7 linked regions of the Callithrix jacchus genome follow. The protein of the gene in region 3 interacts with the protein of the main gene of each other region in a pairwise test. Links are inferred from orthologs where the notes say so. Each region holds a gene or a part of one and is shown on either strand. Other genes may lie near its edges. The genes, in order: AMMECR1, MAPKBP1, ADAMTSL4, SHFL, AQP1, SMARCC1 and APOL6.

Region 1 (3,783 bases), on a different chromosome or scaffold from region 3:
CACACGCAAACACACATGCCAGAACTGTACTTTCAACTCAGTAGCTGCTTGGTCATCCCCCTTAGATCTCAGGCTTTTCCCAAATAATCACTCCCACCCCCACTACTACATACACAACACTCTGCAATCCAGAAAGCAAAAGTAAATCTGGCTGCGGAAGAAGAAACAGCAGCTTTAAAGCAGTAAAAGAACCATCCAAATTATAAAATATGTTAATAAGTAAGGAACATGATTTGGGACCACTTAAAAATAAAGTACTAGGGAATATTTCTATAATATTTGTAGACTTCTCTTTTAAAAAAATCAAATAAGAAGAACAAACTTATAGAAATAGTAACTTAGAAATTTCAAGTTTACTAAAGGTTTTCCACATTCCAACTTTGCTGGGGACAACAGTATAAATTTATTTTATTTCTTCTTTTGCAAAAATCGTAAGGTGTGTTCATATTCTGATAATACTCCAGAAAATCTTATCAGAAAACCCAGAGGGGACTCTTGCATTGTACTATCTGTAGAAAAGATTTTTTTTATGACACTCCCCAAAATTTTTTAAATAGCTCTGGTATAAGAACAATAATTTATATCATAGAGATTTTTTTTCAAATGAAGAAAATTAATGTCTTATTCTGTATATTAGAAAACTGAATTGCAAGTGGAGTAAGTAAATTGTTCAAAGTCTCACAAGGAATCAGGGCAAATCCAAAATTAAATTCAAGTCTAATAAACTGTGAAGAGAGTGATCTATGTCCAAGGCAGAACAGTTACGTTACTATGGGGGATGGTCATCTAAAACAGCAGTAGAATTAAAATCTGTCGTAAGGATACAATAATGCCATTTATAAGTGTATGTGTGAGACAGAATGCTGTATTTATCACTGAGTTCCTATTGTTTCATTCTCATAGCACTTATTTCTTCATACGTTCTATACACATTTACTCTGCTACTGAATTATGAGATGCTTCATGGTGGGAACTGAATCTTACCACTTTTGTATATGTAGCACATTGCTGGAATACAACAGGTATTCAGTAATATGGGCGTGGTTGTGTTAAAATTTCATAGACCCATAGACCTACACTCAACATCTCCCAGCCACCAAAGCAAATCATGTTAGCCAACCCCACATGGTAACGAAGAATACAAATAGGATCATTATAAGCTACTCTAATAATAGCAATACACAGAGATACCCTAGATATAACCTTAATATTATTTATTAGGGTGTTTAAATGTATAAATTAAGGTAGCCAAGAAGGAATTCACATTATTTAACTCTAGTTAATCAATACCTTGTTATTATCGCAAGCTGATTCTGCCAAATGGTATATTATCCTAACTATTTCTTCTTGTTTCTGAGATGTATCCTCTGACCAACTAGTTACATAGTTGGTGGCGGTTATACCAGAGTACATCAAGATGAAAATAAGAGGAGAAATAAATTCCAATCAGTCCTTCTTATTACATATTAACAGCTTTTATGAGGTGCTTTGCTGAGGTAGTAGGATAAAAATGAAAACCAAATTCAGTCTGGGGATTATAACAATACATGATACTTTGCCCTTTAAAAACTAATTTACTTATATCTCATATTTCAATTGTGAGGTTTATTTATCCATATTACTCTCGACTTCCATTACAACAGAGAATGGGCTGAAAGAGTTATTTTCTGGGCCTAGTTTTTAACATCTACTCAAGAGTTACCTTCATTTTTCTTTAAAAATTTTTCTATAATCTTACCTCCCAGTCCAAATAATCACAGACATCTTCAAAGTTAGTGAGCAGAGACACTGAGCAGAAAAGCCGTGGCAGCTCATCCCTTGTCATTGGGGGAAAACGGCTATCTTTAAGGGCACTGTCAAAAACAAAGCAAATATTAAAGCAATCACTGGACATAGTTCCAAATTTCAAATGCAAACAATTATTTGAAAAAGGTAAGAGTTTCAAAAAGAATCAGTAAGATGTCAAAGGTATCAATAAGCTTCAAATGTATTCAAAGTCCCCAAAGATTTTAGAAGTCACCTTTGGTTTTTCATTAAACAGATTGTGTTTGCTAGCCAATCTTGTGACTGCTTCAATTGTAAAGAGTGAATGATCAATTACATTTCCTGTATAGCCATTTCCTGGTGTCTTGCCCTGCTACTTGCAGAATCTAAGAATGTTTTATTTTGCTTTTGAGAAGAATAAAAACTAGACTAGTAGAAATTTGTAGGAAGATTTCAGGATCCAGTGCTGGTGGCAGTAAAAATAAATTTTATGTGTGTGTGTGTGTGTGCGCGCACGTGTATGTGTGTGTGTGTACATATACCTATAAGTGCACACACACACACATGAACACACACACACAAAATATTATTTTTAAAAAGATTATACTAGGTAAGCCAGTCACCATAGAATAGCACTCAAAGGATTCAAAGGAAGATGAAAATTTCATTTTCTTCAAGAAAAAAAACAAAGAAAATGGAAATAATCATGCAAATTATAGACTAAAAATAAGAATTTCAGGCTCCCTATAAAGGATAATTTAACATATGACTCAAAAATTGTGGAACTACAGGAAATAGGGCAAATCTAGGAAATAAAAGTATGAATAGGAGACCATTAATCACGTCAATGAACCTCTGAGTACATCAACTCTGATTGGATCCTATAATCAAGTATAGTATATCATAGTGCCAAACTCTAGAAAATCTCCACTGTAAAATGTGGAAAAACCATAATTCTTCCTGCAGTGGAACAGAAACTACACACAGACACACACACACACACACACACACACACACGGTTCCTTGTACTTTTAAAAGAAATCACTTCCTCATCAAGAAAAACAAACATACCTCTGATTGCCTACTATATTAATGGCAATACTGGCATTCATGATATCCATCTTCAAATGTCCTAGATAGTAGCCAGGCTTAGAAATACTTTCACAGATTAATCCTCAGAGGTTACAAACTCAGACTCTACAAACTGCTTGGGTCATAACATAGTTCCATGGCCTTGAAAATAAATCATTTTCCAGTGATTTTCTCATTGCTGAATTTTTTAAAAGAAATCACTTCCTCATCAAGAAAAACAAACATACCTCTGATTGCCTAATATATTAATGGCAATACTGGCATTCATGATATCCATCTTCAAATGTCCTAGATAGTAGCCAGGCTTAGAAATACTTTCACAGATTAATCCTCAGAGGTTACAAACTCAGACTCTACAAACTGCTTGGGTCATAACATAGTTCCATAGCCTTGAAAATAATTTAAATCATTTTCCAGTGATTTTCTCATTGCTGAATTTTCTTTTTTCATTTTCCCATCTCTTTGTTTGCATTTTGAAGCTCACTCACTGCATTTGTATATTTGCAATACACTTGGGTGCTCATTTTATCCTGCTATACAAAGGAAAATGCTTATAGGACGATATAGAAATGTTATATATGTATAAAAGTATAAATGTTTTTCCCATTCAAGAAGCCAATATTAACCAAGAAAATCAGGAAATCTGTGATAATTCATACTCTGAAAACAGCATTTCACTATTTTATAATTTAATGATGTAAATTCCCTATGGTTTGGCTTCTTTTATTTTTCTACTGACAAATAAAAATTTTAAAAAATACTTCCAAGTTCTCATTCAAATCCAAGATAAAGACATGTGTGTATGTATCCCACCACCCCCTCCACATACAGGAAAGAAGTTCTAAAACACAGACCAGAAGAATTGTATGCATAAAAAATAAAAGATCAATCACATTTTCAGTTTTACTGTTAAGAGAAAGAGAGGAG
Region 2 (4,579 bases), on a different chromosome or scaffold from region 3:
GAGATGGCAGTTGCCATGGTCTGCAGCATACAAGTAAAGACACCAGGTGGCACCATTTATTAGCTTTTACTCCCATGGAGAGGTCAAATCATGTACTAGCAATGGGTTGAGGGAACCAACGATCTGTTGCATATTGTAGCTAATGGTTCTGGCCTTTTTCCTCCAGATTTGGGAAATACATTTGAAAATCACATTTCATGTTTCATAATATTTGCAGTGCATGGTTGAAGGGAAGAAGGCCACATGCTATTGTTGGTCTTCCAGAAGCTGACATCCATCATCTCCATGTCAACTTGTGAGCTTTACAAATCTCATTTTTAGTATGTGGTTACAGTATACACAAGCACATACTTGCTTTGCCACTTGGCTGTGCAAGACTCACCATTGTACACAAGCAGTGAATTTAGGGGTTCTTCCCTCTTGCTAACACGCGTCATCTCAGGGCTTCAAAAGATCTGGATAGGGTGAGACAGATACACCAGTGTACTATTTCCCTTGGGTCCCTTGTCTTTTATTTAGGCTTTTTCATGAGGTCTAATAATTCCTTAGAGGTTCCTCACTTGTTGACACGTGTTATCTCCACAGGGTTTCGAAAGATCTGGGTGGACTGAGACGGATACACCAGTGTACTATTTATTCCCTTGGGGTCCAAGTCTCTGGCTTGAGGTAATTTGTTATAGTAGTAAAGTGGAGAATACTCAGGAAATATATATTGTATGTAGCATTTCCGTGTATTCCGTCTCCCCCGCCATGAATTAGAAAAACTACCCCTCGTTATAGTATCAGCAAGCTTGACAGTGACCTCATCAAGGAAACAGCCTTGGGGAAAAGGATTCACAACTAAATTTTGACAGGAATAAGGAAAAAGATCTGGAGCAACAAAGTCCTGGTCAGCTTTAGTTGAGGGAGCACAATGGGATTTCGGAGGCTAAAAAAACCATGAAACTTACAGTATGTCCCATAGCACATACACTTGTCTTCTCTCTTACCCCGCACGCCCAAAGCTCTGTTCAAAGGCACCCTTTCCCCTTTCATTATGGCCAATCAGGTTGCGTAGTGCAAAACATTGTTCTTAGCAATTGAATTGCGTTACTCAGAAGAATCCTTTCCACGTTGAGTCAACGTGCCGCACGGGCTACGAGCAGAAAATATTCCAACCGCTTTAAATCTCGACACTTAGGGTCGCTAGGAGCACAGCTTTTAGGCTGTAGTTCAGTCTTATTGTGAGCTAGGAGTTTCTGCTACGGGCCCTCGGGCCTATCAAATGCCAACCTTAACACCATGGAGGCGTGGTTATCGTCTGGGGGCTCTGGGAAGTGCAGTTCTCTGGGGGACAAGGCCTGATAATACCATAAAAGGCTTGGTTCTCTCAATTCTGAAGCAATGTTCTGTTGACCTTCCTTTAAAAGCGTACCCACAATTGTGCGGATTCCGTGGTTCTCTAGTCCCAAGTCGTCTGCTTCCTGGGTCCTTTCATTGGCTCCGCCCCGTAAACCTTGCTCGTCTACTCTGGAAACGCCCTCCTGGCTACAGGCCGCGCCCCTCGCGTTGGCTCCGCCCATCTGGCGCGTATCTTGGTCCAAGCGGTAGTTCGCGTTTTGAGCCGCTCGTGCCACCATAGCTCCTGCTGCTGCCTCTACCGCTGCAGCTACCGCGGCGGGGCTGAAATTGTCGAGCGCGATGCCCGAGGGCGCTGTGAGCGTGGTGGCCCTCGCTCGCCGGGGCTGGTGAGGCCGGGCCCGAACGGGGGCGCTGACGAGTAGCAGGGGCTTCAGAGGCGGGTGAAAGATAAAGGTTCAGAGCCGCTGTGGAGAGCAGAGACCGAGCTTTGGAGGATAGGGGGTGGGGAGGGAGGCTCCCGTGGCAGAACGAGTTGCTGGTTTACGTCCCCGCTGCCGCTAGCGCAGGTGCCCTGGCCTCCTGTTGAAATCCCTGGTGGTCTCGGCAGTCTCCTCCCTTGGACAGTACAGTTGCCATGGGAACAGTTGGGCATTAATGGGAACCAGATAGTCCACAGTTGGGCATTAACGGGAACCAGATAGTCCACGAGACTAACTAGGGCCCATCCCATCCATTTCGCCAGTTAAATGCCTCTGGCGGTCGTGGGCCTGGCATTTCTTCGTGGCTTAGGATTTTGTCCCCCTTTTTTGTGAGCTTTTCCTTCCAACGTTGTAAGAAACTGTGCAGGGGTCGAAGGTGGTAATGAGGGAAAAGGTGCAGACTTCACTAGGTAGAAGATAAGACTCTGATAGTAAGGTGGCTTCTGCCATCTCAGGTCAGTGAGAGGGCATATTCGGAAGCCCTGTGGAGTGGGAAGACAGTGCCGCTGTTGAGACAAGACTCAGGACTGGGCCAGGGACTGTCCCAAGGGGTTTCTCGTCGTAATGGCTATGGAAGGGTCAACCATTACCAGCCGAATCAAGAATCTGCTGAGATCTCCTTCCATCAAACTACGCAGGAGTAAGCCAGGAAACCGACGAGAGGACCTCAGCTCCAAGGTGAGTCCTGGTGGGAGCCACCTCTTTCCAAACCGACCCTCTCCTGCTCCATGTTCCTCTTCAACTTTCCTGTTTATTGGGAAAAGATAACGAGAAGCTCTTGTTGACGCTAAAGGATCACTTGTGATCTCTGCAGTCAATGATTTGGTTTTAGGTTGAAGGAAAAAGCAGCAGGGGTGGCCATGCTGAGAGTCATCCTGAGAAGAGGTAAATAGGAGGAAGGCCACCTGTCCTTCCTGGGTTCAGTTGTGGTATTACCCCCTGGGTTCAATTGTGGTCAAACTATACACTAAACATGTGCTTGGGAAGCCAGTTGATATGCTATGACTCAGTTTCCCTTCTTGGGAGAGGACAGTAGGAACACATACCTTGTGAAGGGCTAAGCTGTGACTAATGTAGCTGCAGGTGTTAATGTAACAGCTGGGGTTATGTAAGACTGTAGTGGCAGAAAGAAATATGCCAAAACACCTAGTCGGAGGAATTGGCTTGGTAATTGCTCTTGCCCAGGGTCAGAATTTTTTTGTCTCTTCAAGTGGCATCTTGGCTTCCTAGAAATGATTGCACTCAAGAAGCCAGATATCTCTCAGCAAAACAGTTCAGGATGGTCCTTGAGCATTGCTTATCTCATTCACTATATGAACCACATCCCACTCCACTGCAGATGATACTCACAAACAAAGTTCCTTTCCATCCCTTCACTTATCTGGGTTTTGTTCCTTATGCTTTTTTCAACTAAACGAACCCCAGAACTTTGGGAATCCTGAAGTAGACTACATTTATTTAAACCCTTGAGGAAATCCAGGGCTTTATTCCCATAGGATCAGATCAGATTTTGTGTCTTATTAGTAGCCTGTAAACACGATAGGCTTGTGTGGTACAAGATTGTTACAGGGAGAGGCATTTGAGACCACAGCATGTTATTGCTTTGTCTGTAACTCTTCAATGATGAGTAAATCCCATGAGGAATGATTTGGAATGCCACTGTACAAACGGCAGGATTCTGGGACGGCTGAGCTCAGCTCTGTATTCCTTAGCAGAACCTTGACTGGATTTGGTAAGAAGGTGAACAGCTTTCCTGTATATTTCAGCAGAAATTATACTGAATCACAGTTTGCTAGAAGGTTCTGTGATGGTGGACATTGTGACCCTTCCAAGGTCTCTTATTAATCCTTGTTCCTATTCTCCTGAGGCAGGCGAGTAAGCCTGAAACATAGAAATTGTCTTAGATATGACTCTGTTCATTCTTACTGCTGCAAGTGCTCTTATTCGTGGCCGGTAACTTGGCAGTGACCAGCACTGTTAGAGCAATCTTCTCAAATCTTTGGCCTCTTTTTCTGGCCAGGAATGGTATAAGTAGTAGAAACATGTAATGAGGGTTTAGCCTTCATTATTAATTCTTACAGTATGGTTGCCATTCTTTAAGACTTCCAATATTATTCATTACTAATGCATTTAACAAGTGTTTATTGAGTGCCTATTAGGTGTGCAATCAATGATAGGTAAAACATTACCCTTGCCACCAAAGCTTATGGCTAGTCAGACATGTAAACAAATAATTAAAACATAGTGTGATAAGTACTGCTCTAGAAGTATGCGTAAGTTGTTAATGGAAGCACAGGGGAGGTGACCTAAGTCAGTACAGGGGAATTAGGAAAGGCTTCACTGAGGAAGGGATGCTTGAAACATGAGTCCTGAGGCAGGTGGAGAAAAGTTCTCCAGGAAAACAGAAAAGGGGCATCCCTGGGAAGACCATTTACCATTCCCTGTTTAAAACAGGAATTCAGTGCTTCAGACTGCTTTAAATGGCTTTGTCTCTCCTAAAGCTGTGTATGAAAGAAATACTTAGCTGAAGTTGAATGACCGTTGAATGGTCTGGCAGCAAAATGACTGGTGCATATCTTTAGCACCCAAGAGAAATAGCTGTCTTTGTGTGCCCAGGACCCTAGCGATGCTGGACTCCCCACACTCTTCAGTAAAAGATCTCTACCTAAGATTATTCTTAAAGCCTGCCGTGTGATAATTCTAGTGTATTAAGCTCTGTGAGTTGCTCTAATATTTGGTGGCTGTGGGTAATCGTGATA
Region 3 (3,787 bases):
AGTCGACGTGATGGCAAAGGCCTGCCCCCCTCCGGCCGCCTCTAGCAAGTTCTCTACCTTGTGAGAAGCGAGGGGGAGGGAGGAGGCCAGGCTGAGCCATCTCTGAGGAATGTGGCTTTGGCAGGACAACCCGTGCTGCCCGCTCCTCCCCCGCCCCGGCCGGGCTCCTCCAGGGAAGGGTTCGGGGCAGGAAGGAGAAGGAAGCCCCGGAGCGTAGGGCAATGCGGACGGCAGAAAGGGGGACAGAGGAAGGGGAAAAAGGAGCTTCGGCAAGCCAGCTGTCCTTCGCTCAGGCCCTGGTGGAAAGGAGAGACTTCCCGGCGAGGTTCGGCCCACCAAAGAGCGCACGGCTGCCGCGCTGCCCGGAGGCCCAGCGCCCCACACACCTCGGCTGGGAGCACTGGTGACCTCTAGTGGCCCATGACCAGCCTGCAGGGCCTGGGGCTGGCGGGGTTCCTCTGGCCCAAACTCTCCTCCTGGGCTGATGCTGTTCCCCTGCCCCCCCCCCACCTTCTGCCTTCACACTGCTGAGGGGCCCGCAGCCCGACAAGGAAGAGCCCGTTTCTCATTTGTCATAACCATCTTTAATAAAAAATAAATTAGTTCTGGGTGGAAACCATTTCAGGAGGCAGGGCGTGGGGCTTGGGGCTGCGGTCACATTTCTCATGCTCACATTTCTCTTTTCCACCCTCTGCCCGGCCGGGCTTTGCTCTGGAGAGGCAGTCTCTGTCCTCCTGCCTTCCCCGGTAAGGCAGGATTGGCAGTGGCTGACCCCAGCCCTAGCTAAGCAGGGAGGCAGGGGCAGGGATACTGGGCAAACGAGAAGGGAGGGGTCAGAGACTCAGGGCGGTTTAGATGTGAGGCCTGAACGTGAGCAATGAAGCTCAGAGCACAAAACTGGAGTTGGTGGGAGACCACCCTCTAAGCAGCCCGCATTAGCAAGGAACTGCAAACTTGCTTTCCTCGCTGCCTAGGAGTCTCAGGGAAACAGGTCTTGTCCTCCTCAGTCTGTGGAACTTCTTTTTGAAAAGTGATACACGTTTGAGCACACACATATCCACGCAGTCCCCGATGCACACCTGGGGGGCGTTTGTGCACACCACCACACAGGCCCCACCACAGCCCTGAAAGCCACTGTCACCTTGCCACCCCCCATCACCTGGAGGACATTCTTGCTGAGACTGGGACAGGCTGGAGAGCCAGGGGGTTCAGAGTGGGCTGATCACTGGGTGACCGATGGTGGCATAGAAAACCATGGGGGTGCCCCGGACCCCTTTCAGGAGGGCTCCTGGGGAGACCTCTCCTGGACATGTGCGCAAGAGCGGCAACAGGTGGCTGTGTAGTAGGGGTAGACGCAGAGCCGGGCCTGTACCACCAGGGGGCAATGTGGAGAGCTGTCCTTGCATTGATCATCTGGGGACAGAGGAGGCCAGTGGGAACAAGACTGTCACCAGGACCCACCTGTCTGAAGTTGTGCTGCCCATTCCCACTGGTCCTTTCTCATCTCCTCCCATACTTCAGCTAGTCCACTCTATTGGGGGTTGGGGAGAGGGGTCTCTTTACCAGGGCGCTGGCTGCAGGGTTGGCTGTTACAGGAGCGCTTCCTGGAGGGCCTCTGGTGAGGAGGGCATCGGGTGCTGAGGGTCTGGTTGGCGCTCAGGCACTGGACCTCCCGCGTCTGCAGTCCGCCCTGGCAGGAGCGAGAACACTGGGGCGACCCCGGCTGTCCTATCAGACCTTTGCCAGGCCCGGGATGCTCCTTAACCCCCAGCTGGCACCTCCCTCCCCAAAAGCTGGTGGTGGGGACCCTTCTAGGACATTGTGAAATCACAGATGGAGAGGACCCATCTGTCCTCCAAGTCGACAAGAAATGGGACAATGGTAAAGCTTGGCTCTTATCGTGGGGCACAGAGAGACCTGGAGGGGTACAGTGAAAGGAGCACCCCTCCCTTGGGGGCCCAGGCTGAACAGGGCAGGGCAGCCAGGCACTCACCGGGCTCCAGGGTGTGGAAAACCATCGGTCCTGGCAGGCCTGCCCTTGACAGGGCTGCAGGGAAGGGGGCCTGGGCAGGTGGGAACAGTTGCTCAGAGAAGTCACGTTGAACTCCGTCCCCAGTTTGGACACACAGATGATGTCTCTCCGCTGCGTGCCGGAGCCGCATTCGGAGGAGCACTGGGTCGGGGAGGACAGGGTAAGAAGGGGAGGGGAGGACAGAGGGCGCCCCAAGTGCCCACAGGGAATCCCCTCAGGACTGGCACCCCCTTCCTGCCCTCAGCAGACGCTCAGCTCACCTCACCCCAGGGCCCTGTGTACCAGCGCCACGTCCTCTCACAGGGCCCCAGGCTGCAGGCGCGCATGTCAGGGGGGCGGCTTCCTGGTGGACAGCTCTGCTCAGTTCCTGCTCCTGCTTCACCCTGGCCCACCCCGTGGGCTGCCCCGCTCCCGAGGCAGACCACAGAGCGCCTCTGGATTCCCGTCCCACACTCGGCTGAGCACTGCGGAGGAGGAGAGGTCTGTGTGAGGGTCCTGCTGTGACAGGCACAGAGGACAGGACGGGGCGGGGGGGGCGGGAGGGACACATCCTGGGTCTGAATCTGGGTGGTAGGGAACGTCCCCGGGTACCAGGCCTGCCGGGGAGTCCTAGCCGGGCCCCTCGCGTAAGTTGGAGCTGTGCTGGAAAGGCTGAGGAGGGTGTCCTGGGCGTGGTCACCCAGGACGCAAGACTTGGCTAGGGGGTTAGGGGCTCACCTTGGAGCTCCAGTCGCTGTGGAACCAGGCCGTGGTACAGGGCCCCATGTCACAGGCCTCTCTGCTGGGGGGCTGCGGGGGGCCTGACGCACACTCCTGCTTGCTCACTTCATCACCGGTGTTCCCCACACAGCGAACCTGACGGCTTCTATGGCCCCGGCCGCAGCGCACGGAGCACTGAGCGGGCAAGGGGAATCAGGGAGCTGGGCTTCCCAGGGCTTCTCATCCAGCCTCCAGCTCTAGGGCTTCAGAACTGGGCTCTGCCTTCCATCCTCAGCCCAGCAGTCACATGGCTTCGTGGGCTGAGGAGGAGGCTGAGCCCCTGGGCCCTGGGCCCCCTATCCCTAGTTCAGTCCCTTATCTGACTCCTATATCAGGGTTCCACAGGAAACCCTGTTTGTAAATAGTTTCTGCTGATGAAAAAGTAGTTGGAAAGCCTCTGCTCTTGCTCCCCGTGCCCATTCCCCTCCCCAGCCCCTTCCTGCCCGGCGCACTGACCTGGCTCCAGGGAGAGCCAACTTCCCAATGGCCACAGAGGCGCAGCTGGCAAGACTGGGTGATGTTGGGCCGGGGGAGATGTCCACAGCGCTCTGGGGGCACCGATGAGCCACCTCCCCCAAACTCCTGCCGGCACTGTAGCTGGCGGTGCTGGGTGCCAGGGCCACAGGAGCGGCTGCAGGATGTCCACTCGCCAGCCTCCCAGCTGCAGGCACCAGCAGGGCAGGGAAGAGGAGGAGACAGATGAGATGTGTGGGGCTGCCCCGGCAGGGGGTCGCATGGGGCCTCAGAGGAGAGTGGGCACATTTGGCATTTGGAGTCTGGGTTCCTGTGGGGGCTCAGGCTGCTGTGGCTTTTTTGCTGCCTATGGAACGTCCGCCTTTCTAATCTCATGTTGTCTCTCTGCAGCCAGGAGATGTCACATTGAGTGCAGAGTTCAGGTAAGATTGTGGGGGCAACCGCTGTGTTTCCAGTACCCTAACCCTCCCTGTGGGCCATACTCACTATGAGGGGCACAGGGGGGCGTGGCAAGGTTCAGGG
Region 4 (4,254 bases), on a different chromosome or scaffold from region 3:
TTTGCTCTTTTGCCAGGCTGGAGTGCAGTGGCGCGACCTCCCCCTGGGGTCACCCCTTCTGTACCAACATAAACATCAGCCCTTCTCTCCCTACAGAGGGGTCTTCCTCCTGCCCCAGTGAATATCTCCCCTCCTTTCCTAATGGACATGCTTCTGTGCCTGCAGATGTCCTCCTCCCCACTTCCCCATCCCTAGCCACAGCCACCAACTCACCTCAATGTCCCGGTCCTGTTTCATATCTTCTGGTGGGTCCTGGGTGGAGATAGCAGGGGCAGAAATGGGGGATGGGGCTCAGGCCTCTTTCCATCTGTTTGCTGGGGTAGAGGCCTGGCTACAAGGAAAATGGGGTGCCCCTAACTCGCCAGGAACTCACAGAGCACTGCCCACTTACTGAGAGCCAGGTGTGTGGTCTCAGTTGTCCTCATAACAGCCCTGAGAAGTGGGCACACCTGTGACATTATTGCTGCACTGGAGAAACTGAGGCTTAGTGGAGGACTTGCCTGAGTGAAGCCAGCCTGACTCCCATACTCACTTCCTGCCTGCAAATGCTACATGCTTGTTGGTGTTGTGATGCATCACCCCTTTGACGCCACACTGTGCCAGAGATAAGTGGTGGGAATCTGGGTTGAGATTCAGGTTTGAATCCTAACTCTATCACTTCCAGTTGTGGGGACTTGGGCAAGCCACTCCCTGCCCCCTGGGTTCCCACTGACTGACAGGCATGTCAGAGCTCAGGCTCTGACTCCAGGTGGCCAGGGTTCAAATCTCAGCTGCCACCTGCTTGCCTCGAGAACCTGGCAAGTGACTTAAGCCTCAGTTTCTTTGTCTATGAAATGGGGATGATAAATAATAGGACCTGTCTCCTGGGTCACTGTGGTGATGAAATAAATCAATTCCTGGAGTCTCGCCATGTGGGAAGTACTCAATCAATGCTACCCTCTGTTATTGTTATTATTATTTTATTTTTGAGATGGAGTTTTTTGCTCTTGTCGCCCAGGCTGGAGAGCAATGGCACGATCTCGGCTCACTGCAACCTCCGCCTCTCGGATTCAAGTGATTCTCCTGCCTCAGCCTCCCAAGTAGCTGTGATTGCAGGCATGCACCACCACACCCAGCTAATTTTTTGTGTTTTTAGCAGATACGGGGTTTCACCATGTTAGCCAGGCTAATCTCGAACTCCTGACGTCAAGTGATCTGCCTGCCTCTACCTCCCAAAGTGCTGGGATTACAGGCATGAGCCACTGCACCCGGCCCCTCTGCTATATTTTTATCATACTTTTACATGTGTAAATGTGGACTATGATGCATATTTTATTATACTCTTTTACAGCCCTACACTGAGCCTTTCAGGCAGATGAAATCCACAGCGTTCCCATCACCAAAGCTCTCCAAGAAGCAAAGTAGCCGCGTTGAACCTGTGCTTCAAAACCATTCATTCATTCATTCATTCACTCACTCACTCACTCACTCAACACAAGGGTTCCATTTCCCCACCTCTCTCTCCTCCCCAATCCCCTGCTCATCGCAGCCTTTTTAGGGACTGCCACTAACAACCCTTCCCCACTTCCAGTCTTTGCTCATACCATTCCCTCCCCCACCCCAAGACCCCTGGCTTCCCCTCCTAGGGCTCACTACACCCCATCCTTTAAGACGTGGTACCTCCTCCTCCAGGAAGCCTTCTCTGACCTCTGGGGCTCCCCTACCATGGCAATAATCCTGGCTCCTTTCATTGCCTAGTTTCATGGCTCTCTCTCTCCCATTGAATACAATCAGCACATAATGAGCGCCTACTGTTTGCAGGCTCCCTGGTCTCGCAAACGATGGAGAGGTGAAAAAGTGAGTAAGATTGGGCATGAGTTGCAGACGACAATGCCTGGTCCCTGCTGTTTCAGAGGAGGGTCCCCATGAACGGGTCGGGCCCCCTCTTGCTCTCCCTCCCGTGACCCAGTCCTTTGAGAGGGGAAGGGTTACCTGGGCATCCAGGCCGTTACTCAGTTCTTGGCCATCTTTTTGCTTTACCCCTGCGGGGAGAGTGCGCATAAGGGAAGGGCCTTTGAAGGGTCTGTGGGAGTTCCAGGCCACCCAGAACCGCGACGCAGAGCCTCCCCCAAGCTGGGATCTCCAGGGGAGGTGATCTCAACGCCTCTCCCTACACCACGCCCCCTCGGCGATCCCACGCGCGGTCCCCGCACCAGGCCCGGGCCCCCTCAGCCTCACCGTACACGATGGAGCGCCCCACTCCCGTGTGGTCGCTGCCGAATTTCCTCATCAGAGCCCCCGCCTTCTTGGAGGATACCTTCCCATGAAACTTCTCCCGGAGGCGCCGGACGCTCTTCTCCAGCTGGGATGGGGACACGGGGGCTCCGCTGGGGGAAGGGGACGCGCGATCTTCCCTCCCCCATTACTAGGCACCGTTCTCCCGGCCTGAACTTGACCCTTGGTTTTGGCCTCCGCCGCCCCCCCCCCATCCCTCTACGGCATTTCCTGGAAAAAGCCAAAGTCCCCACAGGGCGTTGGGGGAGGGCGCGGGCCGGGGCGAGCGTCCCAGCCTAAGGTGGGGGGTCGGCCAGGTTATCTCTGGCCTCTGACCTTTGACCCTGCAGCCCCCGCTTTTCCTCAGGGAGGCCTCATTTTGCTCTGGGGAAACGTGGGAGTCACTTTCCTTTTCAAGGGGGGCGAGCGCAAGGCAGGGGTAAGGATCTGGGGTTCTAGGATGGGGGTCCCCAGGAACTGCGAAGCCCCTTCCGCGCCTCCTGGCCGCTCCTCGGGCTCTGTCGCGGCTCCCCCCCGGACCAGCCGTAGCCATCTCCTACCTCCACACCTTCCTGAGACATGGTGGCGGCGGCGCAGGTCCCCGCGAGGGTCCGCACTGCGCGGCTCAGCCGCCCCCCTACCTGGGCGCGCCCGTCGGTCCAGCAGCCGCGCAGGGCAGGGGGCGGTGCCTCGGGGCCGGCTCCGCCCTTCCTCCCCGGCCCCTGTTTCGCTTTCGGTTCGGGGGGGACCGGGCGCGCTGGCTCCGCCCTGGCTCCGCCTTTGCTCTTGCGCCCCAAACCCAGGCGGGAGCCCCGGGTCTGCACCCTGCGGCGGAGCGCGCAGACCTCGGGCGGGGGAGGCGGCGCGGCCTCTGCAGTCGGTCACATGTCCCCACGCTGCGCGGGGTCCGCGTCTTCACGTCCCTCGTGGGGGCGGGGCTGCATCGGAAGGCCGCGGCGAAGCCCCGCGCCCCCCCACCCAGCGCGCGCTCCCCCAGTCCATCACCCTCCTCTGTCCTCCCTCCTCCCCCGGGAATCTGGAGCTTCTGAGGACCTGGGCCCTTTTCCTGCCCTGAGTCTCTGTCCCGCTACGGTCACTTCTTTGAGCCTCAGTTTACTGCTCTGTGAAATGGGGAAGATCCTGGTTTCTACACCATGGAGTGGAGCCTGTGCCAAGATTCCCGAGTGGATCGCGTAATAGCGCCTGGCTTGCAGTAGGCGCTCCACTAGCACTGGGCCACCTGCTGTGTGCCCTTGATGGGGCAGGCAGTGTGTGTGTGTGTGGTGCGGGGAGCGGTGCTTGAGAAAAATACAGATTCTTGGTCTCTAGTAACCCGGTAGAATCCGGCTGTCTCAGGGATCCAGGGAATCTGCCATGGTTGAGAACGCGGTGGGCCGGGACAATTCGAACCTTGTACAGGATGCATCTGGTAGCCCTAGAGTGGTGGGGCTCTGGCCCAGCCTGGGGACATCAGAGATGGCTGCCTCGTTGGAGGAGGGGATGCTTTGTACAGCGTCACTGGAATTGGAGGTCTGGGGGAGGAATAGAGTGGGGAGATGAAGCAGCCTGCGGAGCCCCCAAAGCAAGACTAAGTCTGGGGCGCTCGGGCAAGGGTTTCTTAAGCCCAGCACGCTTGACATTTTGGGCTGCCTAGTTCTTTGTGTGGGGGACTGTCCTGTTATGGGGAACATTTAACAGCATCCCTGGGCTCCACCCACTAGATGCCAATGGCTCCCCACTCTCCCCATGGTGACTACCAAATATGTCTCCAGAGACTGCCAGATGCTCTCTGAGTGGCAAAATAGCATTGTGTTCAACGACTCCAGTTTTTTTTCTCCATTGGACACCCCTATAGGTAAAACTGTTAAAGCTCCACCCGCAGATGGATGTTTGTTTGTTTGTTTATTTATTATCTTTTGAGACAAGGTCTTGCTCTGTTGGCCAGGCTGGAGTGCAGTGGCTTGATCATGGCTCACTGCAACCTTGAACTCCTAGGCTCAA
Region 5 (4,522 bases), on a different chromosome or scaffold from region 3:
CAGAAAGTTGTCCCCAACATGTCTCAAAGGGACACCCCCTGACTCATCCCAACCACTTCCTGCCACCTCTTTCTCTGTTTTCCTTGGAAATCTCCATGCCAACAACTTGTCCCACCCAGGTTTTGGCTGGGGTAGGGCTCAGGGTCAGAGAGGCTGCGGGAGTCTCCCCTGGATCATGAAGGAGTGTGTCACCTGCTGCTCAGACCATCCCCTGTCCCTTTTAAGGCATCCGGGCCACCCCTGAGCCCCCTCCAGTTCCAGGGCCAGTGTCTGATGGGAGCCCTCGGGGGGCACATTTCTGTTTCTAGGCCCAGAGTTGAGCTGCAGAACCCCATCCTTCCTGTCGGGACAGGGCAGCGCCTGAGCCCCCACTGCAATTCGTAGTGCCCTGAGGTTCAGCACTGGCCCTGCTTGGCTGCTCTTACCCAGCTTCCCTGGGATGGGTGATAAGTGCAAAGCAATGAAGTGAGCTGGCTGTATGGGTGTGGCTGTGAGATGTCACAAGACCTAGGTCCCCTCTCCAGGTTCAGGGTCCGCAGCTCCAAGGAAGCTCAACAGGTTAGCTACAGACACGTCTTGAATCCAGGTGTGTGCCTCCCAGCCCAAGGCTGGCCCCCACACTAGGCTGCTCCTCTTTTTCTCCCATTTGCAACATGCCCAGCCCAAGTATTGGGGTTACTATAAAAAACGGAGGCCAGGGAGGACATGGGGCACGGGAGTTGGGTGTGGCCCCTGATCCAGATGGCACAGATGGGGCCCACCCTCCTGCCTCTGCCTCAGATGCCCATACTGGAGCGTGGAGCTTTTGCCAGCAGGTGCAGAGGTACTGCCCTGTGAGATGGGAGGGAAGAGATGGGGCCAGAAAGCCTGGGAATTGCAACCCCTCCCCCATGGGGACCCTTCCCCAGCCCATGATGCCCAGCCAAGCCTCAGTGTGAGCTTGACCCTACCCATTGGAACTCCCTGAGGCCACAAGCTCTGCCTCCACTGGAAACTGAGGCCTGGGGGGCAGAACTTGACGTGGCCTGCCTGAGCTCTGTCCCTTACATCCCCTGTAGCCATGTCTAAACTGGCAAAAGTCTAAACTCCAGCCCAGGGAGCTAATCTTCAATCTTGGGCTGAGCAGAGATTGGCTGCAGAGGAAGCTGGGCAAGCTGTCACCATGACACAAAAGTGCTAAGCCCCCCGTGGCCGGGCTGAGCCAGCTGCCCTCTGCACCAGACCTTTACCTAGCCTCCTGCTGGCTGCCAGCCCCAGAATCTGAACTTTGGCTAGGAAGAGAGAGGACAGCTGCTATAATCACTCCTGCCATCTCTGTGGCACCCTCAGAGATGGCTCACACCATCCCCACACCTGCCTGCCCTGCCCACAGCCCCGCCAGCCTCCTCTCTCTAGATGAGTCCTCCTCTCTACTTCTTAGCCTCCCTCCCTCCCCATGAGGGCACCCCCAAGCCTGCTCACCTACCCCTTGGGCTCTCAGAGACATCCTCCAAGCCTTCCTCAGTCTCCAGGCCAAATCACCCCTGCTATGGCCCAAGCCCGGCCTGAGTTTGCACTTGTCTGAGGAGCTGGAAAAACTCAGGTCTGAGATAGCAGGCAGCTGCCACCAGTGGCCTATTAGCCGTGCTAAGCAGCTCAGGAGACATTCTCTTCCACAGCTGCCACCCAGTCACCAGCATCTGCTTGTCATTAGTGACCCCAGTCCAGACCCCATTCAGGCCAGGAGCCATGGGCACGTGTGGTTACAAACACCCCCACACACCCTTACACGGGTGCACAAACATGCGCACAGTTTACACAAGCTCAGAGACCCATGCTGGCAAACACATGCACACATGCACACCCACACAAACACAGACACACACAAACACAAACACAGACACACACACACGCCACACCTGTCAGTGCCTGGAGCCCAGCACTTGCCCCCCAGCCCACACTGTAATCCAGGAAAACCACTTCCAAACAGCCCCAGAAAGTGTTTTCACTCCCTTATCTTTGTCTAATTCCCTGGAGCAGAGGAGTGGAAGAGAGCTCTTCTCTTAATTCCTAGAGGTGGTGTGTTTGGAAACCTGTGTGAATATGGGGGGCTCCCCAGAGGCCTGGGGGCTCCCTGAGGGAGTCCTGCTCATACACTTGCAGAACCAGCTGCAGACAGGCTGGGCATCAGGTTCAGGGTGGCTAGGGATGGTGGGCAAAGCTTCCCCAGGGTGCAGGGCTGCAGGAGGAGGGAGCTGGCGGCACAGGCAGGACTGAGAAGGGCCAAAAAGCTACAGCCAAGGGGCGAGGAACGGCTGGCCAAGCTTATTCCCCATAATAAATGCCCTGCAGGGGACATTGGCAAGACCATTATTCCCTGGCTCTCAGCTTCCCACAGTGCCTGGCGGAAAACAGGCTCTGGGAGGCATGCATAGCTGAGTTCTAGCCCCAGCTCTCTTCGTGACCTCCAGCCACCTCTTGTTCTCTCCATTCCTCAGTGTCCCCATCTGCACAATGGGCCAAGGATGGAACCAGTGCCTTTCAGCATCATGCTAGAACACCCCGAGCCCGGGGACACCCCACTCACGTCATTGCGGCCAAGCGAGTTCCCAGGCAAGGAGGAGGTGATGCCGGAGAGGATGGCGGTGGCGACGATGGCCCCCACGCACTGGGCAATGATGTACATGAGGGCACGGAGAATGCTGATCTGGCAGCTGAGCAGCAGCCCCAGCGTGACGGCTGGGTTGAGGTGGGCACCGCTGATGTGGCCCACGCTCTGCGCCAACGTGGCGATGCTCAGTCCGAAGGCCAGCGACACCTTCACATTGTCCTGGACTGCCGTCTGGTTGTTCCCCACTGGGTATTTGAAGCCCAGGGCAGAACCGATGCTGATGAAGATAAAGAGGGTCATGGCCAGGAACTCAGCCACTACTGCCCTCCAGAAGAGCTTCTTCTTGAACTCGCTGGCCATGCTGGCAGGGGGCTTTGGCCTGAGACCGCTGCTGGGTGCTCAACTCCCTCTGAGAGCTGAGCCACAGCCTGGGCTGGGCCTATTTATAGGGGCGGGGGGGCGGGGGGAGCACAAAGGGAGGAAGGCCTCTCTTCACTCCTGGCCCGCCCCACACCGCACGGGCCTCCTCTGGATGGATGCAGACTCGGCTCTGCTGTCGGCCTGCCAACTTTTTCCTTCCTCCTCTCCCCCCCCCTCTCCCTCCGCCCTCAGCCCTGCCCAGCCCAAGGAGGCAGGCAGGAGGCGGCCGTTGCTCTAACAGGCTTTGGGAAATTCCTCCAAACTGGCCTCACTCAGGGGACCAGAGAAATCCAGGTGTCTCCACCCTGTGTGCAAAGCTCAGGGGGTTCCTGAGGGTAGAGCCAGGAACTCGAGTGGGTGGAGTGGGTAGGCTGGACTCGGTGGGTGGACGCTGCCCTCCCTGGAGGCAGGCACCATGATCCTGCTGGCCTGACATCCCCATCCCAACCCAGAGAGAGACTGGCCTGGAGTTTCTGAGCCCAGGGCTCCAGAGGCACAGTCAGGGCCTCCTGCACGACCACTGCATGCCATGTTAGGGATGTCCCAAAGCCCCCAGTCCCACCAGCCAAGCCTCAGTGGAAGCAGGCACGGAGGCATCAGTAGGTGCAGAGAGGTTGTCTATGGCTGCTCTCTGTGCTGTGAGTATGGCAGGGCTGTTAGAAAGCGCCCACCCTCGGAGCTCCCGAACTTCTCAGGAGCTGTTTGAACCAACGATTTGAGGGCAGGTTGGTGACGATGGAGACAGTTTCGGACTTTCCTCTCAAGGCAGTCACACTGGCAGGTCACTGGGAAGGTGGAAGGAACGGCAGCCTGACCTGGTATTGGAAGGTGCTGGAGAGGAGGGAGTGAGTGAGCAGGAGAGAAAGGGAGAGACAGGGAGATGCAGGCTGAGGGGAAGAGAACAGAGAGACACGGAGAGAAGGAAGGCGGTAGCAGGGAAATAGAGCAAAAGTGGAAGTGAGAGAAAGATCCCCAGCCAGAGACAGTGAGACAAGCAGAGACACAGAGAGCACGCAGAGGGTTAAGAAAAGACGAACTGAAGCAGGGGAGATAGGACTGGACCCCAGAGCCAAGAAGCAGAGAGGGAGAGATAAATGAGGAGAGGCAGAGAGCAGGAGGGGCCTGATGAGCCCCCCACAGCAGGAGGGACCAAAGCCCTCAGGCAGACCCCTGTGGACCCCCTATGCCCTGGGCATCTCCGATCCAGAGGTCTAGCGCCAGCTGACAAACAACAAGAATCTGGACTCAGGGGCCAGCAAGCCGTCAGGAACCCCGGGGCCCAGCCCTCTTGCCTGCTACATGGAACATGCTGGACAAGCCAGGCCCAGGAGGGAGGGTCCCCCTGTGGCCCCTAGGAAGGGCCTGGGATGATCTGGGCTCTCCTCCCATCTCCTGCCTGTCCCACCACAATCTCATTCAGCAGTGTTGGCATCTTCCCATTTATAGGTGGGAAACTGAGGCCCAATGAGAGGACTCCTCTGCGTTCAAAATGTGCTTAGGGCAAGGCAAGGA
Region 6 (4,440 bases), on a different chromosome or scaffold from region 3:
CGCACCACTGCACTCCAGCTCTGGCGACAGAGCAAGACTCTGTCTCAAAAAAAAAAAAAAAAAGAAGGTAAATAATATCTATCACCTAGAACTGCTGTGAGGATTTTAAGTGAGTTATGCTTTAAGTACCTGGCACATGGTAAATGCTCGGTTACTGAATGCATGAAGTGAATGCAAGAGTTTGAGGTTGCAGTGAGCTATGATCACACCACTGTACTTCAGCCTGGGCAAGAGAAAGACCTTGTCTCAAAAAAAATAAAGTAAATTAAAAATGAATCAAAAAATGACACTACCAAAGTCATGTTTACTGAGACTGAAACTGTAACTGCTCTGAAAATGCAGCAGTATTAAATCCAATAGAACCAATCTTTTGGTTTTTAACCAAATAGAAATGCATTGTGTAGAAAAGAATCAAAGAACCTTCTGATGGTATTTTCACCACTTTAACAGTAACACCCAGAGACTGAAAAGATTCTGGCTGTCAAGCCTAAGGTATACATGATTCTGAATCTGAGTAGACCCTAAAAATACTCTCTGGCTTTACAAGTTCAGAGAGGTCAAAGGTAACTTTGTCTATAAAGTCTCAGGTACAGTGAGTCAACATTACCCAGGTGGTCTCAATACTGCCAAGCAATTCCTCAAACTGCTTTGTAGCCACTTCCCTACCCGCCCAAACAAATGCCTGAAGGATTATCCATGGCTAAAGCTTCTTGTAGTTGGTCCCAAACTGATGCACACTGAAGAGTCTGGAGAGGTAGAAATTACTGAAATTTGCCTTTTTCTACTCTGTTCCTTGATATTCAAAGGAATATGCCTCTAGATTACTTTTCTTTGTTAAATCTCCACTGAATTTAAGACCCAAGCACATTCACCTGTGTGCTTCAATTAAAAAAAATAAAAGACCCAAAGCTTAGATGAGAAAAAAAAAAAAAAAGACCCAAAGCATTGGCTAAAAGGAAAACATATTCAATTCCATTAGCCACTTCTAGAAGCTCTATTACCCACATTTAAAAAGTGACCAATTTATCACTGTTTAAGAAAGGGCAATATTCTTAAAAATGTACAGTCTAAATATAACTTCAGAGGGAGGGGAAATCTAAGCACCTAAAAATACAATTATTGTCTCTCACTTCCTCAAACTTCAGATAAGAAATGTAATTTTTCTAGCTAACCTTCAAGAAAGAAAAGAGAAAGAGAAAGGAGCGTGGGAGGAGAGAGAAAGGAGGGAGGGAGGGAGGGTCGGTCATTCCTTTTTTTTTTTTTTTTTTTTTGTTCTTGTTTTTGAGGGGGACAGAGTCTCACTGTATTACCCAGGCTGGAGTGCAATGGCGCCATCTCGGCTCACTGCAGCCTCTGCCTTCTGTCTTCAAGAGATTCTCCTTCCTCAGCTTCCCAAATCGCTGGGACTACAGGCATGTGCCGCCACACCCAGCTAATTTAGCATTTTTTCTGGAAAGACGGGGCTTCACCTTGTTGGCCAGGCTGGTCTCGAACTCCCGACCTCAAAATCCGCCCACCTCGGCCTCCCAAACCGTGCCTGGCCAGAAATGGTCACTTCTGAATAAACCACGTGTAATGCCAAAGGAACCCAAGATCCCTGCCCATGCCTAATAACTGCCCAACACCGACAGGCTTCACTGAGCTCTAGAGGCCAAATAAATAGGTTCCTAAACCAGTTTATCTTTTCATTCATTCAACAAATATTTACTAAGCAGCTATTCAGGGTAAGGCAGTAAGTATCAGCGACGTTCCCAGATACACTGCAGTGAACAAAGCCTTTGCTTTAGTGCTATGATCCTCAATGGGGAAAAGTACAGAACTGAAGAGGGTGCTGGGAAAATTTCAGAGGCTGGAGGAGGCTTTTTGGCTACCTGCTTCATTACACCCTTTAAGGGACTCTTCCTGAATATTTACACAAAGGGGAAATTTTTAAAAAAGCATTTCTTATAAACAAGGGATTAAGTCAAAACTTTGAAAACTACTGACTCGGCGGAACTTCCATTCTAAAGGTAGGAGAAATAAGTAAATGAATAATTGATTTCAAAATCTGGTAAACATTACAAAGAAAAAAAGGTAACATAAGGAAAGTGCTCTAATAAAAACTGGGTTCTCGGGAAAGGCCTCCCTGAAGAACCCCTTAAGTACAATGAACATTAACTCTCACACCACACCGAACCAGAAGTATAATCAGGTAAAAACCGTTGTTTAATAGAAGTTCACATCCATCCTATATAATTCATATTAACCTGTTAGTAATTAACGAATATAGTCATCCCAGTTTAGTTGTTTAGGAAATCAACAACAGGTAGCAAACCCCCTCGAGGCTTTGAATACTCTCTATAACAAAACTTAAAGCTTTTACCACGCTTGCTCAGTCTTTAGGGATCATTGTTCAGACACCTAAGGCAGCTGACGAAAGAAAGTCACACTCTCCCAGTGGCTAAGCTCGACCTGCTCTGGCACACGAGAATGAGCAAGGGCTTTCTCCAGGAATGCGTGGGTTCAGAGGAGCGAGCCACGAACCCGTCAAGCCCCGGGCGCTCGGGCGCCGAAAGCGGACGGCGGGGGCGTGGCGGGCCCAGCGCCTGCCTTTGTTGTCCCTCGTGGCGCGCGGAGGGGGAGGGGCGGCCCGGGGCCCGCGAGGCCAGCTGCCGCCTCCCGCCCCAGTCGCGTGGTCTGTCGGCCCCCGCGAGCGCGCGAACCCACCTTCTTGTAGTGCTTGCCCAGCCATACCCGCACTGAATCCAGCTGAGACACCGTCTCCGGGCTCTCCCAAAACTTGGTGGCCGGGCCCCCGTCCTTCCGCCGATAAACGGCCAGGCCTGCTGCTACCGCAGCAGCACCCGAGCCCGTGGAGCCTACTGCTGCCCCTGGGCCGCCACCGCCGCCCGCTACTGCAGCCATCGTCGCCGCCTGTCGCCCTCACCGCCTGGCCCACCCCGACCCTTGCGGTGCTTCCCGTTCGCTCCCGCGCGCCCTTGCGCGCGTAGCCGCCACCGCCGCCTGCCGGCCCCGCCCAGCCAACCCCCTTCCGGCGCGGACGCCCGGCCCCGCCCCATCTCCGGACTGGCGCCGTATCCGTCGCGAGCCCGCCCACACGCATGCGCAGCTATTCTGCGGCCCTGCAACGATTTCCAGTCGCCTCTTCCGCCAGCCTCCGTAGGCTGTGGACGTTCTCGCTTACTGAGCGCGGGTCTTTGAGCTCCTTGCTCTTCTCTCGCTACAGACGTCCAATCATGATGCGGTCAGCAACCGCAGGTGGGTTCTGTGTCATCGCCTGCTCTGCTGGACAGAAAAGGCCTGGTACGAGAAGTGCCGAGAGGAAAGCCTGTCTAGGGTATCCAGTGCTGGCCGAGGACCCTGCGCGCGGACTGGGACTGCGCTGGGCTCAGCTTTCCGGCAGACCCTCCACCCGGAGCGGTCCCGCGGCATTTTGCACAGCCATCTGGGATGCCCATGCCTGAACTTAATGGCTTCACAGACCTTCCCCTCCCTCATGGCTCCAGCCACAGCGGCTCATTCCTGCCCCAGGGGCCCTGGCACCGGCTGTTTCCGAGACTTCCAACAGGTCTTCCCTTCTGATTTTCACTTAAGAGACGCATTCAAATTCACTGCTTCAAAGCACTTCAGAAAGTCGTCAGATCTTAAAATCTTGAATAACTATTCTCAACCACACATTTTCTCGTAGCGCTCACCACGATCCGGTGTTTCTAGTTTCTCACCTTCCACATAAATTACATGAGAACCTAATCTTGACTTGTTCACAGGTGTAACCTGAACACCTGGGACAAGGAATAAGATGTACAGTAAATACTTGATGAATTAATGAATGGCCCACATAGAAGCAGAATGATTATTAATTATTAACAAGGTATGAGGCTGGGCACGCTGGCTCAAGCCTGTACTCCCAGCACTTTGGGAGGCCGAGGCCGGCGGATCAGCTGAGGTCAGTAGTTCGAGAGCAACCTAACCAACATGGAGGAAACCCCGTCTCTACTAAAAATACAAAATTAGCCGGGCATCGTTGTGGGCTCCTGTAATCCCAGCTACTAGGGAGGCCGAGGCAGGAGAATCGTTTGAATCCGGGAGGCAGAGATTATGATGAGCCGAGATCGCGCCATTGCACTCCAGCCTGGGCAAAGCGAAACTCCGTCTCAAATAATTAATAAATAAATAAATAAATAAATAAAACAAGATATGATTGGCCAGGCACGGAGCATTTTGGGAGGCTGAGACGGGAGGATTGCTTGAGCCCAAAAGCTCTAGACCACCACCCCCTCCTGCCTCTACAAAAAATAAAAATATCAGCTGGGCGTGGTGGTGCAAGCCTGTGGTCCTAGCCTCTTGGAAGTCTGAGTAGGGAAAATCACTTGAACTGGGGAGATCAAGACTGCAGTGACCTATAATCAAGCCGCTCCACTGCAGCCTGGGCAACAGAGC
Region 7 (2,672 bases), on a different chromosome or scaffold from region 3:
ATCACAAAATAGTAACAAACTACTATTGGGTTGCTTACACCACGAAATGTATTGTTTCACAGTTCTAGAGGCTGGAAGCCCCAGATTGCACTGCTGACTCATTTACTTCCTGGTGAGGGCTCTCTTCTTCTGCCCTGCAGACGGCCACCTTCTTGCTGTGTCCTCAGATAACCTTTCTTCAGTGCAGCTGCGCAGCAGGGGTGGGGAGGCCCTCTTGTGTTTCTGCTCCTCTTATAAGGAGGTCAATTCCATCATGTTAGGCCCTCACCCTGATGGCCTCATTCAAGCCTAATTACCTCCCAAAGGCTCCATCTCTAAATACAGCCACATTTTGGTTTAGAACTTCAACATATGAATTAGAAGGAGAAGGCAATTTAGTTCCTAACTCCCCCTGTGGTTCAGTGTCCTTTTTTTAAAACTGGGAAGACTCAGCTGGGCACAGTGGCTCACTCCTGTAATCGCAGCACTTTGGGAGGCCAAGGTCAATAGATCAGTTAAGGTCAGGAATTTAAGACCAACCGGGCCAAACTGGTCAAACCCTGTCTCTACTAAAAATGAAAAAAAAAAAAAAAAAAAAAAAAGCAGAGCTTGGTGGTGTGTGCCTGTAATCCCTGCTACTTGGGAGGCGAAGGCAGGAGAACTGCTTGCTTTCAGGAGGCAGAGATTACGCCACTGCACTCCAGCCTGGGTGACACAGACCCCGTCTCAAAGCAAAGAAACAAACAAACTGGGAAGACCCTTTTCCCAGCACATGGGCCTTAAGAAGTGTTGAGGGAGAAACAGAAGGCACGCCCACGTGTGTCCAGGACAGGCACCCTCATCTCCAAGATGTACTTGATACCGTTTGGGCCTCCAAGGCCATTGTATACCCGTGTCCTGAGGTGCATTCATGTAAACATGACATACACACAGACACACACACACAGACACACAAATATCCACACATGCTCCCTTAACCCCTTCCAGTAAGCCTTGGTTTCACAGGTCCCCGTTAGAACCTTCGCCACCACTCTGGCCCTTGACCTCACTTTCTGCTGCAAGCTCTGGTACAGCTGGGTTAGTTCTGTGAGGTTCATCTCCAGCTCCGAGGCCTTGGCTCTCAACTCTTCCGCGAACTTTGTCCTCGCTCCTTCCTTCAGGTGCTTCCATTCTCTTGAGAGAGCGGCCAAGTCAAGGCCAAGGGATAAGGTGGTCATCGTGCCTCCCAGCATGCGAGCATTTTTGGTCATTGCCAGTGTTGTCCCTGCAAAGGCCCTTTGCACCTGTGCGGTGCTCCGGGAGGAGACTTTGCCAGTGGTCAGAAGACGCTTGGCGGCATTGGCCAAGCGTGGGTTGGCTCTGATTTTCTGAAATGCACGGACGTTGTGTTTGGCGTTCTTCATGGTGTTGTTAACGTGACAGATAATGTCTATAGCGACTCCGACATAGTCTGCCTTCTCTTCCGCAGCTTCCTTGTCCTCCTGGTCATGGGTGGGCAGTATGTCTTCAGCCTGAGCTTGGGCTTTCTTATTTTGGGAGCGCTCCAGCAAACCGCTCACAATGCTGGTGACCGTAGCTGCTGTTGCCAAACCTTGACCAGTGGCGGAGAGTAGCAGGCTTCCTCCTCCTGTTGCTGGGGCAAGGGCTAAACCCAGGAGGCTCACCACCCCAGAGACGACAGCAGTGGAGTTGGCCACCAACTTAGTCTTGGTGAATTTCTTGTGGGTTTTGTCAATATCCTCTGCGAGGGCACGCAGCTTGTCGATGTTACCTTTTAGATCTTCTCTCATTCTGGGAAATTGTCTTAAAAATATTTTTTCTTTGGGGGACAGATCTCCATCTTGTAGCTCCACATCTTCACACAGAAAAGCATCATCCTCGTCCCTGAGGAAAAGTGAAATAAAGATTTTGCTTCAGCTTCCCAGCTGGGAAAATCCATGTGGCTCTTGGATATTCTCGCCACTCTCAACTTTGAGTCCTCCCTGTACCTCCCTTCAAAATCCCCTGAAAATTCTTGGAGTGTCATAGAGGAGTTCAACCTTCACTGAAAGCTACTGGTTCCATGGAGAAAAGAAACACATAAAAGGGGCATGTGGAGGGACAAATGTGAGTCACCCCAGCCTTGGCCAAGGAATGGGGAAGGCAGATTAGTCCTGAGGCATGTTTTCAGCCTTGTTCACAGAAAGCACGGCACTGCCACAGAGGAGGGGCAGTAAGGAAATGTTAAAACCCTATTCAAGATAAGAAACTTGGGAACTCCGGTGCGGTGGCTCACGCCTGTAATCCCAGCACTTTGGGAGGCAGAGGCAGGCGGATCACGAGGTCAAGAGATCGAGACCATCCTGGTCAACATGGTGAAACCCCGTCTCTACTAATAATACAAAAATTAGCTGGGCGTGGTGGCGTGCGCCTGTAGTCCCAGCTACTTGGGAGGCTGAGGCAAGAGAATTGCTTGAACTCAGGAGGCGGAGGTTGCAGTGAGCCAAGATCACCACTGCACTCCAGCCTGGTGCTTGGCGACAGAGCAAGACTCTGTCTCAAAAAAAAAAAAAAAAAAGAAAGAAAGAAAGAAAAAGAAACTTGGGAACAATGGCTGGAGAAACCTGGGAAAGCAGGAGAAAGAGAAGACAAGGTGGTGGGCGGGGATGAGCATCCCAGATGTGTAGAAGTGAGTAGGAGCCTGGAGGGGGCCA

What was found.
Region 1: the proteins of ADAMTSL4 (region 3) and AMMECR1 interact in binary tests that used the Homo sapiens proteins (3 or more experiments, as listed by UniProt). The two-hybrid records come from large-scale screens. The link is inferred for Callithrix jacchus from reciprocal best matches to the Homo sapiens genes ADAMTSL4 and AMMECR1.
Region 2: the proteins of ADAMTSL4 (region 3) and MAPKBP1 interact in binary tests that used the Homo sapiens proteins (3 or more experiments, as listed by UniProt). The two-hybrid records come from large-scale screens. The link is inferred for Callithrix jacchus from reciprocal best matches to the Homo sapiens genes ADAMTSL4 and MAPKBP1.
Region 4: the proteins of ADAMTSL4 (region 3) and SHFL interact in binary tests that used the Homo sapiens proteins (3 or more experiments, as listed by UniProt). The two-hybrid records come from large-scale screens. The link is inferred for Callithrix jacchus from reciprocal best matches to the Homo sapiens genes ADAMTSL4 and SHFL.
Region 5: the proteins of ADAMTSL4 (region 3) and AQP1 interact in a two-hybrid assay, tested with the Homo sapiens proteins (2 studies listed by BioGRID and IntAct). The link is inferred for Callithrix jacchus from reciprocal best matches to the Homo sapiens genes ADAMTSL4 and AQP1.
Region 6: the proteins of ADAMTSL4 (region 3) and SMARCC1 interact in binary tests that used the Homo sapiens proteins (3 or more experiments, as listed by UniProt). The two-hybrid records come from large-scale screens. The link is inferred for Callithrix jacchus from reciprocal best matches to the Homo sapiens genes ADAMTSL4 and SMARCC1.
Region 7: the proteins of ADAMTSL4 (region 3) and APOL6 interact in binary tests that used the Homo sapiens proteins (3 or more experiments, as listed by UniProt). The two-hybrid records come from large-scale screens. The link is inferred for Callithrix jacchus from reciprocal best matches to the Homo sapiens genes ADAMTSL4 and APOL6.

The regions. Positions count from the first base shown.
Region 1 is NC_133524.1:106,622,223-106,626,005, forward strand, and holds part of AMMECR1 (nuclear protein AMMECR1), read right to left. Parts: intron 1,854-3,783; coding exon 1,739-1,853; intron 1-1,738.
Region 2 is NC_133509.1:44,826,120-44,830,698, reverse strand, and holds the start of MAPKBP1 (mitogen-activated protein kinase-binding protein 1), read left to right. Parts: upstream 1-1,600; 5' UTR 1,601-1,727; exon of another isoform or gene 1,728-2,275; 5' UTR 2,276-2,384; coding exon of another isoform or gene 2,385-2,498; exon of another isoform or gene 2,499-2,567; intron 2,568-4,579. UniProt on the Homo sapiens protein: Negative regulator of NOD2 function. It down-regulates NOD2-induced processes such as activation of NF-kappa-B signaling, IL8 secretion and antibacterial response. Involved in JNK signaling pathway.
Region 3 is NC_133519.1:10,468,491-10,472,277, reverse strand, and holds the end of ADAMTSL4 (ADAMTS-like protein 4), read right to left. Parts: coding exon 3,752-3,787; intron 3,453-3,751; coding exon 3,248-3,452; intron 2,927-3,247; coding exon 2,750-2,926; intron 2,497-2,749; coding exon 2,293-2,496; intron 2,174-2,292; coding exon 1,994-2,173; intron 1,709-1,993; coding exon 1,564-1,708; intron 1,414-1,563; coding exon 1,277-1,413; 3' UTR 562-1,276; downstream 1-561. UniProt on the Homo sapiens protein: Positive regulation of apoptosis. May facilitate FBN1 microfibril biogenesis.
Region 4 is NC_133523.1:9,278,803-9,283,056, reverse strand, and holds the start of SHFL (shiftless antiviral inhibitor of ribosomal frameshifting protein), read right to left. Parts: upstream 2,946-4,254; 5' UTR 2,835-2,945; coding exon 2,814-2,834; intron 2,342-2,813; coding exon 2,218-2,341; intron 2,022-2,217; coding exon 1,972-2,021; intron 253-1,971; coding exon 214-252; intron 1-213.
Region 5 is NC_133512.1:27,327,331-27,331,852, forward strand, and holds the start of AQP1 (aquaporin-1), read right to left. Parts: upstream 3,009-4,522; 5' UTR 2,951-3,008; coding exon 2,567-2,950; intron 1-2,566. UniProt on the Homo sapiens protein: Forms a water channel that facilitates the transport of water across cell membranes, playing a crucial role in water homeostasis in various tissues.
Region 6 is NC_133516.1:30,460,588-30,465,027, forward strand, and holds the start of SMARCC1 (SWI/SNF complex subunit SMARCC1), read right to left. Parts: upstream 3,006-4,440; 5' UTR 2,905-3,005; coding exon 2,707-2,904; intron 2,557-2,706; exon of another isoform or gene 2,363-2,556; intron 1-2,362. UniProt on the Homo sapiens protein: Involved in transcriptional activation and repression of select genes by chromatin remodeling (alteration of DNA-nucleosome topology).
Region 7 is NC_133502.1:206,571,730-206,574,401, reverse strand, and holds the end of APOL6 (apolipoprotein L6), read right to left. Parts: intron 1,864-2,672; coding exon 888-1,863; 3' UTR 584-887; downstream 1-583. UniProt on the Homo sapiens protein: May affect the movement of lipids in the cytoplasm or allow the binding of lipids to organelles.